Linked DNA regions of Callithrix jacchus. The main gene of each other region encodes a partner of the protein of the gene in region 2 in a complex. Links are inferred from orthologs where the notes say so. Each region holds a gene or a part of one and is shown on either strand. Other genes may lie near its edges. The genes, in order: GRN, SORT1 and NTS.

What was found.
Region 1: the proteins of SORT1 (region 2) and GRN are in contact, whole or in part, in a crystal structure (PDB 8T8S), measured with the Homo sapiens proteins. The link is inferred for Callithrix jacchus from reciprocal best matches to the Homo sapiens genes SORT1 and GRN. Residues at the interface, in NP_002950.3 of Homo sapiens: Leu108, Gly110, Ser111, Val112, Ser113, Leu114, Ile174, Gly175, Pro176, Lys260, Tyr304, Ser305, Phe306, Gly307, Leu308, Phe314, Ala315, Ser316, Arg325, Ile327, Phe350, Tyr351, Ser352, Ile353, Leu354, Tyr395, Thr398, Gly399, Thr402, Phe404; in NP_002078.1 of Homo sapiens: Pro578, Arg579, Trp580, Asp581, Ala582, Pro583, Arg585, Arg590, Gln591, Leu592, Leu593.
Region 3: the proteins of SORT1 (region 2) and NTS are in contact, whole or in part, in a crystal structure (PDB 4PO7), measured with the Homo sapiens proteins. The link is inferred for Callithrix jacchus from reciprocal best matches to the Homo sapiens genes SORT1 and NTS. Residues at the interface, in NP_002950.3 of Homo sapiens: Val112, Ser113, Leu114, Ser115, Trp116, Lys260, Tyr304, Ser305, Phe306, Gly307, Leu308, Phe314, Ser316, Arg325, Ile327, Phe350, Tyr351, Ser352, Ile353, Tyr395, Gly399, Thr570, Gly571, Leu572, Ala573, Trp586, Trp597; in NP_006174.1 of Homo sapiens: Leu152, Tyr153, Glu154, Asn155, Pro160, Tyr161, Ile162, Leu163.

What each region holds. Positions count from the first base shown.
Region 1 is NC_133506.1:71,185,881-71,190,651, reverse strand, and holds the start of GRN (progranulin), read right to left. Parts: upstream 3,272-4,771; 5' UTR 3,239-3,271; intron 2,996-3,238; 5' UTR 2,956-2,995; intron 316-2,955; 5' UTR 309-315; coding exon 171-308; intron 49-170; coding exon 1-48. UniProt on the Homo sapiens protein: Secreted protein that acts as a key regulator of lysosomal function and as a growth factor involved in inflammation, wound healing and cell proliferation. Regulates protein trafficking to lysosomes, and also the activity of lysosomal enzymes.
Region 2 is NC_133508.1:147,277,575-147,282,233, forward strand, and holds the start of SORT1 (sortilin), read right to left. Parts: upstream 3,180-4,659; 5' UTR 3,115-3,179; coding exon 2,809-3,114; intron 2,504-2,808; exon of another isoform or gene 2,395-2,503; intron 1-2,394.
Region 3 is NC_133510.1:95,528,309-95,533,031, forward strand, and holds the start of NTS (neurotensin/neuromedin N), read right to left. Parts: upstream 3,125-4,723; 5' UTR 3,016-3,124; coding exon 2,943-3,015; intron 808-2,942; coding exon 746-807; intron 1-745. UniProt on the Homo sapiens protein: Neurotensin may play an endocrine or paracrine role in the regulation of fat metabolism. It causes contraction of smooth muscle.

The DNA.
Region 1 (4,771 bases), on a different chromosome or scaffold from region 2:
CTGGCAGGGGCCACCCAGAGGCCTGCTCAGTGTTGTGGGCCATTTATCCTGGAAAGACAGGGGAGATGATAAACCACAGACTGGCATCTGGCATCCTCCTCCGGCAATCCAAGATGACCCTTTGGGAAAACCCAGGCTTCCAGCTCTTGCCTAGGCTGAGGGGCGCTCACCAGAAGGGGGCTGCAGCAGCTGTAGCTGGCTCCTCCGGGGTCCAGGCAGCAGGCCACAGGGCAGAACTGACCATCTGGGCACCAAGTTCCAGCCACCAGCCCTGCTGTTAAGGCCACCCAGCTCACCAGGGTCCACATGGTCTGCCTGCAAAGTACCAAGGAGCATCTGGCAACTGCTTAAGCCCATTCCACCCTTGATTCTGAGGCCACTCAGTCCCCCAGCCCCAGGCCAAGGTCCTGGCCTGGGACTGCCTGAGCCTCTTCAACACCTCCCTGTCCAGGCAGGCAAAAAGCTGCAGGGGCTAAGTCGGCTGACTACAGCGCCCTGTGTGTGACACACGCCTCAGCGCGTGCGGACCTGTGAGCATGAATGCTGACATGTGTATACCTGTGCGTCTGAATCCCCAACGCATGGTCTAACAGCTGGGCCTCGCTGGGCAGGCTTACAAGTCAGGAAGATGTGATTTTTGGGGGTCTGATCTGTGCAGATGTGGGATATCTCTGAGGTGAGGGGAAGGCATCAGTAGCCATGGGAGAGGACAGGGCTGGAGGGCAGAGAGGGAGTCCCCCCCCAAAAAACCAGGGTTCCCCTCCAGATGCCTCCTTGCCTGACATCATGTTCATACCTGTACCCCAGTAAGGCTTGCGGGAAGCAGCCACATGAGGACATGAGAAACCACAGGGGTGAGAAGGTTGTGAAAAAGGAAGTATGGTGGCTAGCAGAGTCTGGGCTGCCCTCCCCAGAGGCCAGTCACCACCTGCCATTAATGTCCCCTCCTCGCCAAGGGAAAGGGACACAGGCTGAGTCAGCCTTTGAGACACCTGTGTTCTGAGGGTCCCCCACACCTCTAGGGCCCTCTGAGATTCCCCAAGCATGCTAATCCCCATCCCTGCCTCTCCCTCTATTCTGGAAGTGAAACTCAGCCACATGTGGAGAGAGACCACGTGTGACCACTGGGCTGCCCATCTGAGTCACCAGGAGGAACTGAGCCTTGAGTCTCTGTGGGGAGCAGCCTCTCACTTCCTAAACAACTCTTCTCCCAGGCTCAGCTAGCCCAGCTAGCTCAGGGGGGTGGCCAGAGAGGTTACACAGCCTGAAGGAGTGAAAACAGTCTTGTAACTGGCTTCTAAGCCAGTTACAAGACACTTCATATTTTATTTCTGTGCAACCACCATCCAAAGTAGTAATTAACATCTTTACTTTTATTTTAGAGATGAGGTATTGCTATGTTACCCAGGCTGGACTCAAACTCTTGGGATCAAGCAATCCTCCCACCTCAGCCTCCCAAGTAGCTGCGACTTCAGGTGCGTGCCACCACACCTGCTCATTTTTTTTTTGAGACGAAGTTTTGCTCTGTCGCCCATGCTGGAGTGCAATGGCATGATCTCGGCTCACTGCAACCTCTGCCTCCTGGGTTCAAGTGATTCTCCTGCCTCAGCCTCCTGAGTAGCTAGGACTATAGGCACATGACACCATATCCAGCTAATTTTTGTATTTTTAGTAGAGATGTGGTTTCACCATGTTAGCCAGGATGGTCCTGATCTCTTGACCCGGTGATCTGCCTGCCTCAACCTCCCAAAGTGCTGGGATTACAGGCATGAGCCACCGCATCCAGCTACCACACCGTTTTATATAAGGGACTTGAGCATCTGCAGATTTTGGGGTCCTGAACCCAGTTCCATGAAGGGACACCTATAACACGTCACACATCAGGTCATTGTGACAACAGGCTTTGATGGGCCCAGAACATATTGGACCTGGGTTCATATTACTAGCGGCACGATGGACAGTGCCTGGAAATGGACCCTAAGCCCCAGGGGGATAGATGCATCAGGTAGGACAAAAACGGTACAGGGACTGCCTGGAAATCGCACTTGGGTCCTAATCCTAGAATTGCCAACTGTGATGGCCTGAGAAGTTGCTCCCTGTCTGTGCCTCAGTTCCCCCAGGAGTCTCTGTGTGGACACCACTGTGGGGGAGTGGCAGGAAATCTCCCCACCCAGTCACTCACACCCTCTGCTCCACCTGGCTTTCCTCAAGTGCCCCTCCCCTAAGTCAACATCCCCAAGAGGCCACCTCCTGGCCAGATAAGGGTGAAGTTGACTGGTACTGGACAGTGGACCCTCTCCTCAGCCTCACAGCTCCTGGGCAAAGCACCTGCAGCTGGCACCACATGCTTCCTGGGTGTTCTCAGCAGGCTGTCTGCTGCCCTGGCTTGCTGGGAAGGGGAGCCTGTCTGCACAGGACTGTTCGGCTCCCTGGTGAGTTACCTGTGCATGTGCCCCCTCCTGTTTACACTGAGTTGAAGGAGTATACTGTACGTTTCTACTCAATACATGCACGGGCATACAGAAGCAGGGATGAGGAGGAGAGCCAAACACACCCTCTCATCGCCACCCTACACCACCAAAACAGCCAGAAAGGACAGCAGCCTCTTCAAGCCCTAGCTCTGTTATCTTCCACTAGGTGGCACTCCCCGACTCCGAGTGCCAAGCGGAGAGGAAATTCCCAAAAGGGGAGCCAACCTCGCTGCAAATGAGCAGGAAAAGGTGGCTGGGAGAGGCGGAAGTTAGCTCGTCCCACCCCCTACAAGAGGAAGTAAGGAGGAGCCAGACCAGGTTCTGTCACCACTCCCAAGTCCCTACTACCTTCGAGAAGCCAAAGTCTCAGGTCCGATTCCCAGGCCCTTGGAGCTCCCAGCCCAGGGTCGCGCGCCCCTCTGGCTCCAGGCTGCCGCGGGGACCACCCAGCACCACCGCGAGAGGGGAAGACGCCGGCACCTACCGATAGCGGTAGATCTGGCGCAAGAATGGCGTGGTCCCTGCTTTGGGGGAAAGGACTTCAGCTTCCCGGAATGCTGGGGAGGGAGAGCCCCCTTCTAACGGGGGTCACTGCAATTACTGCTTCCTCTCCCCCATATAACTCCTTCCAGTGTATAGGAACGCCCAAAGGAGTTTCAATAAGCGGGTATTCTGTCGTCTCCGGCTGATACTCCAGGGTAACCCCAAGCGCACATGGCCCTGGCCAGGCCCCTGGGTAGGAGAGGTCTGCGCGGCCGCCCTCCTACCTGCGTTCGGGTCCGCGGTCCCTGGGTAGCAGCAGCCAGTCAAGCAGCTCACGGACTACAAACCCCAGCGCGATGACCCGCCCACCTCAGTTTCCATTGGCCAGAGGTCCGGGATACGACGCTTCCATTGGCTACTTATCGACGTAGAGGCGGGGCCAGCCTGGGATGCTGTGTTTTTTTTCTACTCAAATCACTCACCTCCCGGCTTCCTTTCGCCCCACACCCCATTTCTAGGGATCATGTGATTGGGGAATCATGTGACGCCGGGCCAGCCTCAACAGGGCAGCCGGTGCTCTCCTTGCTGCCTTCCCACACCCATCCTGCAGGCGCCTGGGGGAGTTTGCTAGAGATGATAGCGTGTGTGGGGCATTGGGAATATTTGTGCTCTCCTTTTTATTTTTCTTTTCTTTTTTTTTTTTTTAATTTCCCCTTTCTATTTTTTAGAGTGATGGTTGCCCTAGCTGATCATAGCTTACTACAGCCTGCAACTCCTGATCCCAAAGCGATCTTCCCACTGCAGCCCCTCAAGGCGCTGGGATTACAGGCGTGAGCTACCGGGCTGGCTCCTTCGCTCCCATTCTATCCTGCCCTGCCCTGCCCTGTCCCGTCCTGCCCTATTCTGCAAACTCGGATGACATGCTAGGCAGGCCCCAGACGGAGTTGAAGGATGGATTTGAAGACAAAGATAAGCAGCCCCAAGCCCTTTCCTCAAGGAGTCAGCGGGGCGGGAGCGGGGGGCAGGGGTTGGTAGGAGACAGGCTCAAGCTGGATCTTATTTATTTATTTTTGAGACGGAGTTTCGCTCTTGTTACCCAGGCTGGAGTACAATGGCGCGATCTTGGCTCACCGCAACCTCTGCCTCCTGGGTTCAGGCAATTCTCCTGCCTTGGCCTCCTGAGTAGCTGGGATTACAGGCACTCACCACCGTGCCCAGCTAATTTTTTGTATTTTTAGTAGAGACGGGGTTTCACTATGTTGACCAGGATGGTCTCGATCTCTTGACCTTGTGATCTACCCGCCTCGGCCTCCCAAAGTGCTGGGATTACAGGCGTGAGCCACAGCGCCTGGCATTGGATCTAATTTAAGATAAAAGATTGTGCGCAGGTGCCAGGTGTACGGAGTAGATTGGCTTCAAGTGGGGAAAAAGCGGTTTTGTTGTTGTTTTCTTTCTTTCTTTTTTGAGACAGAGTCTAGCTCTGTAGCCCAGGCTGGAGTGCAGTGGCGCGATCTCTGCTAACTGCAACCTCCGCTTCCCGGCAAGCTATTCTCCTGCCTCAGGCTCCCAAGTAGCTGGGATTACAGGCGCCTGGCACCACGCCCAGCTTGCTTGCTTGATTGATTGATATTTAGTAGAGACAAGGGTTTCACTGTGTTGGCCATGCTGGACTCGAACTTCTGACCTCATGATCCACCAGCCTCGGCCTCCCAAAGTGCTGGGATTACAAGCGTGAGCCACCGCGCCGGGCCGGGAGAAGAGAGATTTAATTCCACTTCAGGATCATCTCCTTGAGCTGAGTCTGGGAAGATTTTAAC
Region 2 (4,659 bases):
GCTTGAAACGAACAGCACCAAGTTAAAAGAAATAAGAGAACTGTGAACTTTTGATTTTTCTTGGGACTCAAATCTTGTCATATTATATAGGAAAATGATTCTAAGAGCACTTTCCTTCCCCAGTTGTACAAAGCATACAATATCTCTGATTAAAAGTTGTTCCGTCATGCTGATACTTTTATTTCACACTGTTTTATAAAGGGTCCCAAAATACTAGATCTCTTTAATACAGGTCAGGATTCTTTATGACTTCTAAAAACAAATAAATAAATAGAACAGGCTACTACATAACAATTCTTGGTTAAGGAAGTGGTACTTTACTTAACCACTTTTGAGGTAAAGGATATTAAACAAAGGCTCCACTTTTCTTTTTTTAAACCAGATACAGAAAGGATGAGACCACAGATGATCAACAAGGGCAATTTTTTTTTTTTTTGAGACAGAGTCTCGCTCTGTCACCCAGACTGGAGTGCAGTGGTGTGATCTAGGCTCACTGCAACCTCTGCCTCCTGGGTTCAAGTGATCCTCATGCATCAGCCTCCGGAGTAGCTGGGATTACAGGTGCATGACACTGAGCCTGGTTAATTTTTGTATTTTTAGTAGAAACAGGGTTTCATCATGTTAGTCAGGCTAGTCTCGAACTCTTGACCTCAAGTGATCCACCTGCCTTGACCTCCCACAGTGCTGGGATTACAAATGTGAGCCATGGTGCCTGGCCAAAATAGCTATTATAAATAAGGTCACTGAAAAAACACTGGGAGAGAAAAGCTAAAAAAAAAAAAAATCATTAGAAACTGCTAAATGAAAGAAATAAAAGAAAATTTCTTAAAGAAGGAGTGGTTTTAGTTTGGCTCATCCATAGATTTGGCCTTAGAACCCCTGAGCTGGTTTTCTCAACCTCTTGCTTTGGAATCAATCAATATATTACAAATGACATATCAATTCAAACTAACCAGGAAGACTCTGCCTCAAGGAATAAACAGAGGCAGGGCATAGTAGCTCAGGCCTCTAATCCCAGCTCTGTGGAAGGCTAAGGTGGGCGGAGCACTTGAGCCCAGGAGTTCAAGACCAGCCTGGGCAACTGGGCAAAACCCTGTCTCCAAAAAAGAAAAAAGAAAAGAACAATTAGCTAGATGCATGTGCCTGTAGTCCCAGCTACCTGGGAGGCTGACGTGGGAGGATCACTTGCACCCAGGAGGTCAGGGCTGCAGTGAGATGTGATCGCACCAATGCATTCCAGCCTGGGCAAAAGAGTGAGACCTCATCTCAAAAAAGTAGTAATTACACAAAAATTAGCTAGGCATAGTGGTGCACACCTGTAGTCCCAGCTACTCAGAAGGCTGAGGTAAGACCCTGTCCAAAAAAAAAAAAAAAAAAAAAAAAGGAGTAAATCTAAATCCAGGAGTAGCTGCAGACCTAAAGTTAGGTCAACCAGCAAGAGAAGAATTTGAAATATGGAATAAGAATGCTGTGTCCAGCTGGCTCAGGGAAGGAAGTGGTCCAGTATAAATTAAGCATCAGTGTTGTAAAGCCTTTCTCAACCCCCCACTGTGAGAAGGAAGTCTATTCTATTATTTTTTTTTTAATTTCTCATCAAGTAGGAAGACTTCCCAGTACTCATTCTACTCAATCTGTCCCACCCTTCAGCACTAGCTTGGCCTCCTTTATACAACTGCTGCTCCAGCTGCACTAAGCACAGTTATTCCTGAATACTTGTGTCTTGTGTCCCCAGATCAGAGAATTCTATCACAGGTAACAAGTATGGTCCAGATAACTGGGCAGTCCAAGGGGAAACTGAGGCTTGGCTGATATTGAAATGTGATTACAGAAAGACAAGTGCAAGCACAGAGCCTTGGCCACCCATCCCTACCCCCAAGTGCAATTCATTCTCTGTGAAAGAGGAAAACAAGCAAGCAAGAAAATATATAGAATTGAAAATACATTATGCAAATGTAGCTAGCAAGAATTAAATTGTTAATTATAGAGAAAAAGAAGATGCCCAAGTTGTGCAGAAGCAAGAAGCCAGGACTTTCTTAATAACTGGTTTTGTCAATCCAGTAGTGTGCAAAGGTTGAGCTTGCTTGTCCCCAGGGACAGAAATACCACAATTCTGAAAGTCTTTTGACGGAGAACTGGCTCAAAGCAGAATGTATGCAATTCCTTTCCTAAGTATTGAAAATCTTATCACCACAGATGTAGACATACTAGTCAGGGTTCCGTACCACGACAGAAGGTCAAATCTGAAGGAGTAAGAGAGATCACATAAATACTACCATCTCATTTCCAAGCTAGTCCCCTTAACTATCAAAACACACACGGTGACCCGACCGCTGCTTCTGGCCTCCTGAACTCCCGCCTCTCCACCCCGAAAGTACTGACCCAGGGAGGACACACCTTTGCTTCTGCGCAGCCCAACTTCTGCAACCGCTCAAGAGTTAATTAATTACTCCTCCAGCTTCCTGGGGCCTAACAGCTTTACTGGGTCCTGATTTTTTATACAGACGGAAAACAATGACGCTCAAGAGATTTTGACAACTTAAAAAAAAAAAAAAAAAAAAAAAAAAAAGAAGAATGCGGTGGAAGTCTAAGATTGCCTCCCCTGTGACGAAACACAGCCCAGCCGGCCGCCCGGGCCCGACTCCGCCCGCCTGCCCGCCGCAGTTTCCGAGCTGCGGCCCGGGGTGGCGCGGACGCGGTGGGGCCGGGGTCTCCTTCGGGAGTCGCGGGGCGAGCTAGGCGCGCGGGCCGGGAGGGGCGCACTGGCGGCACCTCGAAGCCGAGCGGCGCCCGGCCCCGGCGCCCGCTCACCTGGTGCGTGTTGTTGGCCAGCTTGGCGACGAAATCCCGGACCCGGCCGCATTCCTCGTCCTCGCCGGGCGCGCTGCGACGCCAACGGCCGCCGCGGGGAAACGCGCCCCCGGCCGCCGCCGCCCGCAGCCCCCAGCTCACCCCAATGGGGCCGGACCAGCGCAGCAGCGGCGCAGCAGGCGGCGGCGGCGCGTCCAGCCGGTCCTGGCCGAAGGTCGCAAGCGGCAGCAGCTGCAGGAGAAGAAAGAGGCCGAGGCCGTGGGGCCAGCGCAGGAGGACGGCCGCAGCTCCTCGGGGTCGCTCCATCGCCGCCGAAAGCCGACGCCGCCGACGCCGCCGACACCTGCCGCCCGGCGCGCCCGCCTACCCCCGCCGGCGCGCGCCACACCCCCGAGCCGAGCGCGGCGCTCCTTGGATACGCGCGGCCGGGCCTCTCCGCCCCATAGGCTGGCCGCCTGTCCCTCTTTCCCGGCCCACTTCTCATTGGCTCGCGTCGCCTCCGGCTTCGGGGGTCCTGGATTCGGATGCCAAGATGCGGGACTGATTGGCTGGAACGTGGCAGAGACTGCTGAGGTCAACCCCGCCTCGCCCAGCGTCTCCAGGGCCCGGCTGACTGAGTTCACGTAAGAGCTTTTCCCACCTTCCCGCCGAGCCCCGGGCTCCTGGCGCCGCGACCCCTCGCCGCACCTCTAGCGCCCTCAAGTTGGAGCTGTGTTACTTCCCTCTTGTTCCCCAGAGACACCCCTAAAATTCCTTCGGTGAGGCAGAGCCTGGAAAATCTCCCCCGGGGAATCCCTGAGCTCGCTCAGCTGGAAAAAGGAGCTCCATCATGAACCGGGGCTTCAGGTTTTTATAAACCCCGCTCACTGGAGCGCCCATTGTCGGCTAAGCAGCCCCCTTGTTGCCAAGGTGAATGCGAACTGGTGTGGGTCACATCCTACGGAGACAGACGACAGGACATCCGAGACTCCTGCAAGCCTGAAGAATAGACTTTCCACACGTTTAGCCTCTTTCGCCTTCCTCTTCTGCGGGGAGGTAGGCCAAAGGCGGAATTACAGGTTTTCCAGTACTTCGAATGTAACTTAGACATTAGGGGCAGGTAAAAGGGGGCAAATGACCCAATGCCTACCGTTTACATGATAATTTCCTAGATGCACATGTACTTTACAAGAATGCCTTAGCTCTGCAGTGAGAGCTTCGCACAAGTTTGGTTCCAGTATGTGATGTCCTCTAAATTAGAACCCCAATCCACCTCCAATGAATAAAATAAAAGCCCTACGCTGTTCCCTTTACTGCAGAAGCTGCACACATAACTTCTACAACACGTAGTACAGGTAAAACCAGTTCTGAATCCTTAAACTGACTCTGTCCCTTTGGAAAGTTAGAAATTGTTGAGTAGAAAAGGTAGCAAATAGAAAGCTACAAAATATGCAAATCGTTACACTCAAAGAAAGTAAAGATGACTTTTAACTATACGCTGGCCATAAAACCAAATGAGGGTATACAATGTACAGCAAAATGATACAACGCAGCAACCCAATATTTACATTAAAATACTTCTAGTCACGTTAACTTTCAAACAAAAAGACTTAAGAATTTAAAAATTTTCCCAAAACAACCATAGTAAGACGTGAGAAGTGAAAAATGTTTTTGAATGCCATCTGAGCAGGAGAGTAAAATCACAAGAATAGTCTTTAAGTTACCAGTTACTGGACTGACAAGATAAAGCTGATGAAAACTGGTGAATAGTTTGTTCCTTTCATAACGACTATCAGATTAATTTTTAAAATAAATTATTTTAAAATCTATGCCAACTATGGGAGTAGATCACAAGACAGTCAGTTGCAATAG
Region 3 (4,723 bases), on a different chromosome or scaffold from region 2:
GCCCAGTATACAAAGTTGCATTTGGCTCAATTAAAAAAATTAAAAAAGGAACATGTAAAAATAACATGTCTGTTATAGGGAGAATTTAAATCCAGACATACAATGAAGAGTACAGTTTAGTAATTCTTAAATGCATTGTAGAACGGTAAATGTCTAGAAGATTATGAACTGCAACCCCTGCATTTAAAAACAAGGAAACACAAGTAAGCAAGGTGAATTAATCCACTTGCTAAAGATCAAATATTTATAAGTCACTGTTTCAGGATTAGATCTCAAAGCTCTTGTTTGCCAGTCCACTGCTCTCCCCTTTCTTCTACATTTCTTTCACAGGGTGTCATGAACTTTTACTTCTAATTTAAGAATACCTTTTTATTTCCCCTAATATAATAGCAAAAAGCAAAGAGTTCACTTTGTTTTCATTTAACTTGAGGCCAATACACCTTTCATCATACCCAATGTAAAAGGCATGGAAACAAGTTTCTTTAAAAACATTTACAGCCACGTAAATATGTGTGACAATTAATTAAAATTGCAACATGCTGATTGATAGAACTCTAGTTTCTTTGCCTCTCATATCAGCACCTTTGACTTCTTTTTACTAAAAGAAATTTTTTTCAAAAAGGAAATGCCTCTCAAGGAACATTTCAATCTTGATGGGAAGTTATTACTATAGGAAAAACATACCATGTTTATAATGAAAGTTCATATGGTCTTCAACCAAGAGTTAAGGAAAATAAAAAGTTACCTTTGATGTATGCATATTGGTCATCAAATCTGCTTCTAATGCTTTCATTTCCTCTTCTGAATCTGAGTAAAATCAAAATCACGTTTACTATAATCACATATCATATAATTATATCATAATCTACAAATTTTAGGTTGATCTAAAATATTAGTTTTAGAGGTTTAGTCTTTCTAATGTATTTTCTTAAAAATAGTAACCCTAAACAACAAGTTATAGTTATATTTTAGCATAATAGGAAGCTAAAATAATAGAAGCACTTCTAAGAAAATGCATATGACTGTTTGTTCAGACAGCTATTGATGACTTGGAGTTGTTTATTCTTTAAATTTCAGATTTTAAAAATGTGATCATATTGTGTAATACATATTTTACCAAATATGCTAGGGTAGTTTATTTTTTACCAGCCATAGTTTACATATATAGAAAATATGCATATTAACATTTAAATACACAACTTAATGAAGATTATATAAGAGACTTTTTCAAGTCAAAACCAAAGGGAATTGCTTATTGATAATTTTTGAATAATAAAGATACTGAGATTTACTTAACTTGAGATTTTTTTTTTAACAAAAACACACTTTGAAGGAACTGCATTTGTACTTTAAACAAGAATTTGGAATTATGTATTTTTAATTTTATCAGAAGCATTTAAGGAAATTGCTTAAGCAAAAGTGGAGCTGTTCAACATCGTATGTACGACAGCATTGACTATGGATCACGGGATTTTTAAAAAACTCTATCTGAGTTTCTGTTAATGAATATTTTACAGAGAAGGAAAATTTAGAAAATGCTATAATAAAAATAAAGTTAAAAATGACTCTATCTTCCTTGTATTACACACCCATTAAAAAGAAATGTCACACTCAGAGAAACCATTTGTTTGATATTACCTAGAACCTAAATTGTACAAGAGATCTTTCTCCCTATTTGTTAGGTACATAATCTATTTTTCAAAAGGAATGGCAAATTCTATTATTCATTTATGAACAATGTATATATCAAAATCCTCATAACTTTTGCATTATTACAGCAAGTACTTTCAAGTTACCAAACACAGTGCTTCATCAATAATCCAGTTTTTCTTTCAGAAGTATTGAAGCTTTAATCTCACATAACTTTCAGATAAACTCATAATTGTAAAAATGTTTGTTTTTCTCATAAGATTTAAAGTTATTTTCTGATGATTAAAATAATCGCATAAATGACATATCTTCTTAGATTTCAATTTCATATCAAATTGTAGCATGAGTTTGAATTAAACATTTCAATGTCATATTTATGATACCTAAAGGCATAGAACAGGTTAAATTATTTTTGCTGCATTTTCTTTCTAAGGTGTTCTTTTCATTTTGAAGTGGTCATTCCAATATTTCTTAAATACTAAGTAGAGCTTTTTGCAATGGTTGTAATATTTCATGTTACACCTTTCAATTTACATCTCATTTTCAAAGTGAGTTATTCATAGACATTTAGGACTATATAACTTCTCCTTTCATACCGCATGCAAAACACTCTAAAGTCAAATCATTTCCATCAATATAAGAATACCAATTGGCCAACTGAATTCTGTATTAATTTAAATGGCATGGAGAAAAAGTACCAAACTGTTATATTAATAGCATACTTATTAGACTATGCACAATGTATTCTCAAAAAGGACTGGGAATATTTTTGTATTTTTCTAGAAATAATTTTCTACAAATAATGCTTTATTTATTCACTAAGCATCAATTTGCACTTCATGTGTTATCTTAACACAAACAAGTAGGAAGATAATATGAGGACTATTAAAATGGCATGAGGGCCACCGCTTGCTAAGAGATGAATGAGAATGAGAATAAAACATTTTGAATGGATGGGATTAATGATGAGTTCGCAGGTTGACAGACACTGCTTATGTACTTCTCATTAGATAATGACCAGCCTAATTGAAAGTTTTGTAGTATTTTTTTCCTCATGGTTGCATTACAAAGGGGGTCATGCAGTGTTTCATTGAAATCCCTTTTATTGCTTTGCAGATTTTAAAAGGGAAAATAAATCTCTCAGTTATTGTAATCATAAAGGCAGAGAAAAAGATATTCACAGTTTCTATCACTGACAGGTAAATCCTAAAAACATTAACATAAGTAGCAACACAATGCAAAAGAGAAAAAATAAATCACTTCAGGGAGTTGTGAAATGCAGTTTTGCTTACCTGAGCACAGACTCAAGGAGCTGAAAGCCAGGAGTAGAATGCATACAAGCTGGATTTTCATTCCTGCCATCATCTTTCAGCCTTCTAGCAAGCCAAGTTCATAAAAGTCAGAAGGACACTGAAGGGGGCTCTCTCTCGTGCTTCCTCTTGCCTTCAGCTGGCTTTGAAAGTGAGTGAACTGTGAGAAGTGCTCTGGCCATTCCCCTACATATATAAGCAGCAGGATGATGTCATTGATTGTACAGGCATTATCTTTGCAGGATGTGCCCTATCTTCACCTCTATCCCTCCCTTCTTTCTCCTCTCCGATTCATTTGTCCCCCCTTTTTCCACCCCCATTTCTGAACCTTGAGTGAAAGTGACGATCTTCCCTAATTGCTGCTGCTGCTTTGGATTTCTGACGCACAGAAGGAGTCATTCAAAAGCACTGCTATATACAGCATACTGATCTCTTTTCCCATTTCTCATTCCCCCACTCCAAAAGTTGTCATTTTGATTTTGTAAAACATGAGATCTGTTATTTCTAATTTTTAAGCAAAATCTCCAGGATGAATCCATGAAATCAGTGACTTCTTAGGCTGGGAAGTTCTTAAAGAGTAGGGTTCTTTTCTGGTAATCCAAACTTCTGAGCAAATGTTTACTGGTTCCAAAACTAATACAGGTTTTAAATAATCCATGCTAGAATAAGACAGAATATAGACAGAGAATCAGTTATAAAAATTAAGTAAATAAATTTGGAGATTAGAAAGAAAATCAATAAAAAAGAAATAATAGATCCAGGGAATAAGATATTATTTCCTAACAAATGGAAAATATTTTATTGTAAGTAATGAGAGATGACTGAACTATGTATGCTGACTTTTGGTTGAATGTATTAGAAAAACAATTTCATGTTTATAAAATCCAGCTCTAAATTACTTACATGCTCTCAGGTAAAAATGTGTATTGTTGTCTCACTGACTTTTTTTTTCCTGTTCATTATCTCTTTTTGTACCTATATTGTTCTGCTCTTTTTGAATTCATTTTTGATGCTGTGTCTTATTCTTTGTGTGATTCTCCTCTCATTAGTTTTTATTATTGCATCAACTTTTTTCCCTGTGATAATCCTCTATTCATCATAAAAATGAGATTGTGCTTTTGGAAAGGAGACAATCCTAAATAACCACCATTCACCAAAGTCACTTTTCTATGATCGTCTTCTTGTATTTCATGAGTTACACTGATACCCATTCTTTGCCTGAGTTCTCAAAAGAAAATTGCTCAAAGCGCCTTTTAACATAAAACTTTCTTCTTGTATTCAGCATTTCAAGATACATGGAGTGATTTGACAAGTCAGTGCTGTTAGAGTAAATATTTAAATGTAAAGTTGTCTGAGCCTGGTTTAATTTTTAAATAAATCAATCATGTAGTAACAGTTGAGAAAAAATAGGATTGATTCCTCTAGAGAATTGATTTACATTATACAGTCTATGAGATTAACTTTTTCACCTTTATCCTAAACTTAAGGAAAGAGATGAATTCCAAACATTTAATAATTACTTAAGATAGCAAGGACTCTTTCATATAACAAGAATTTAATAATAGTTGATATATTTATTATTTTTAGTTCATTTTGTAAACTTACATAAAACACAATATTGAACATACTTGGAGGAAGGTTTCTGTAAAGCATTTAATTGACAAAGAAATGTGAAATATATACATCTAGATGTTTTCTGGTTTCCTACCGTTAGGGGGAGCAATGGAAGCTTGAAACGCTTTTTATTTTCACTTAACAGATTC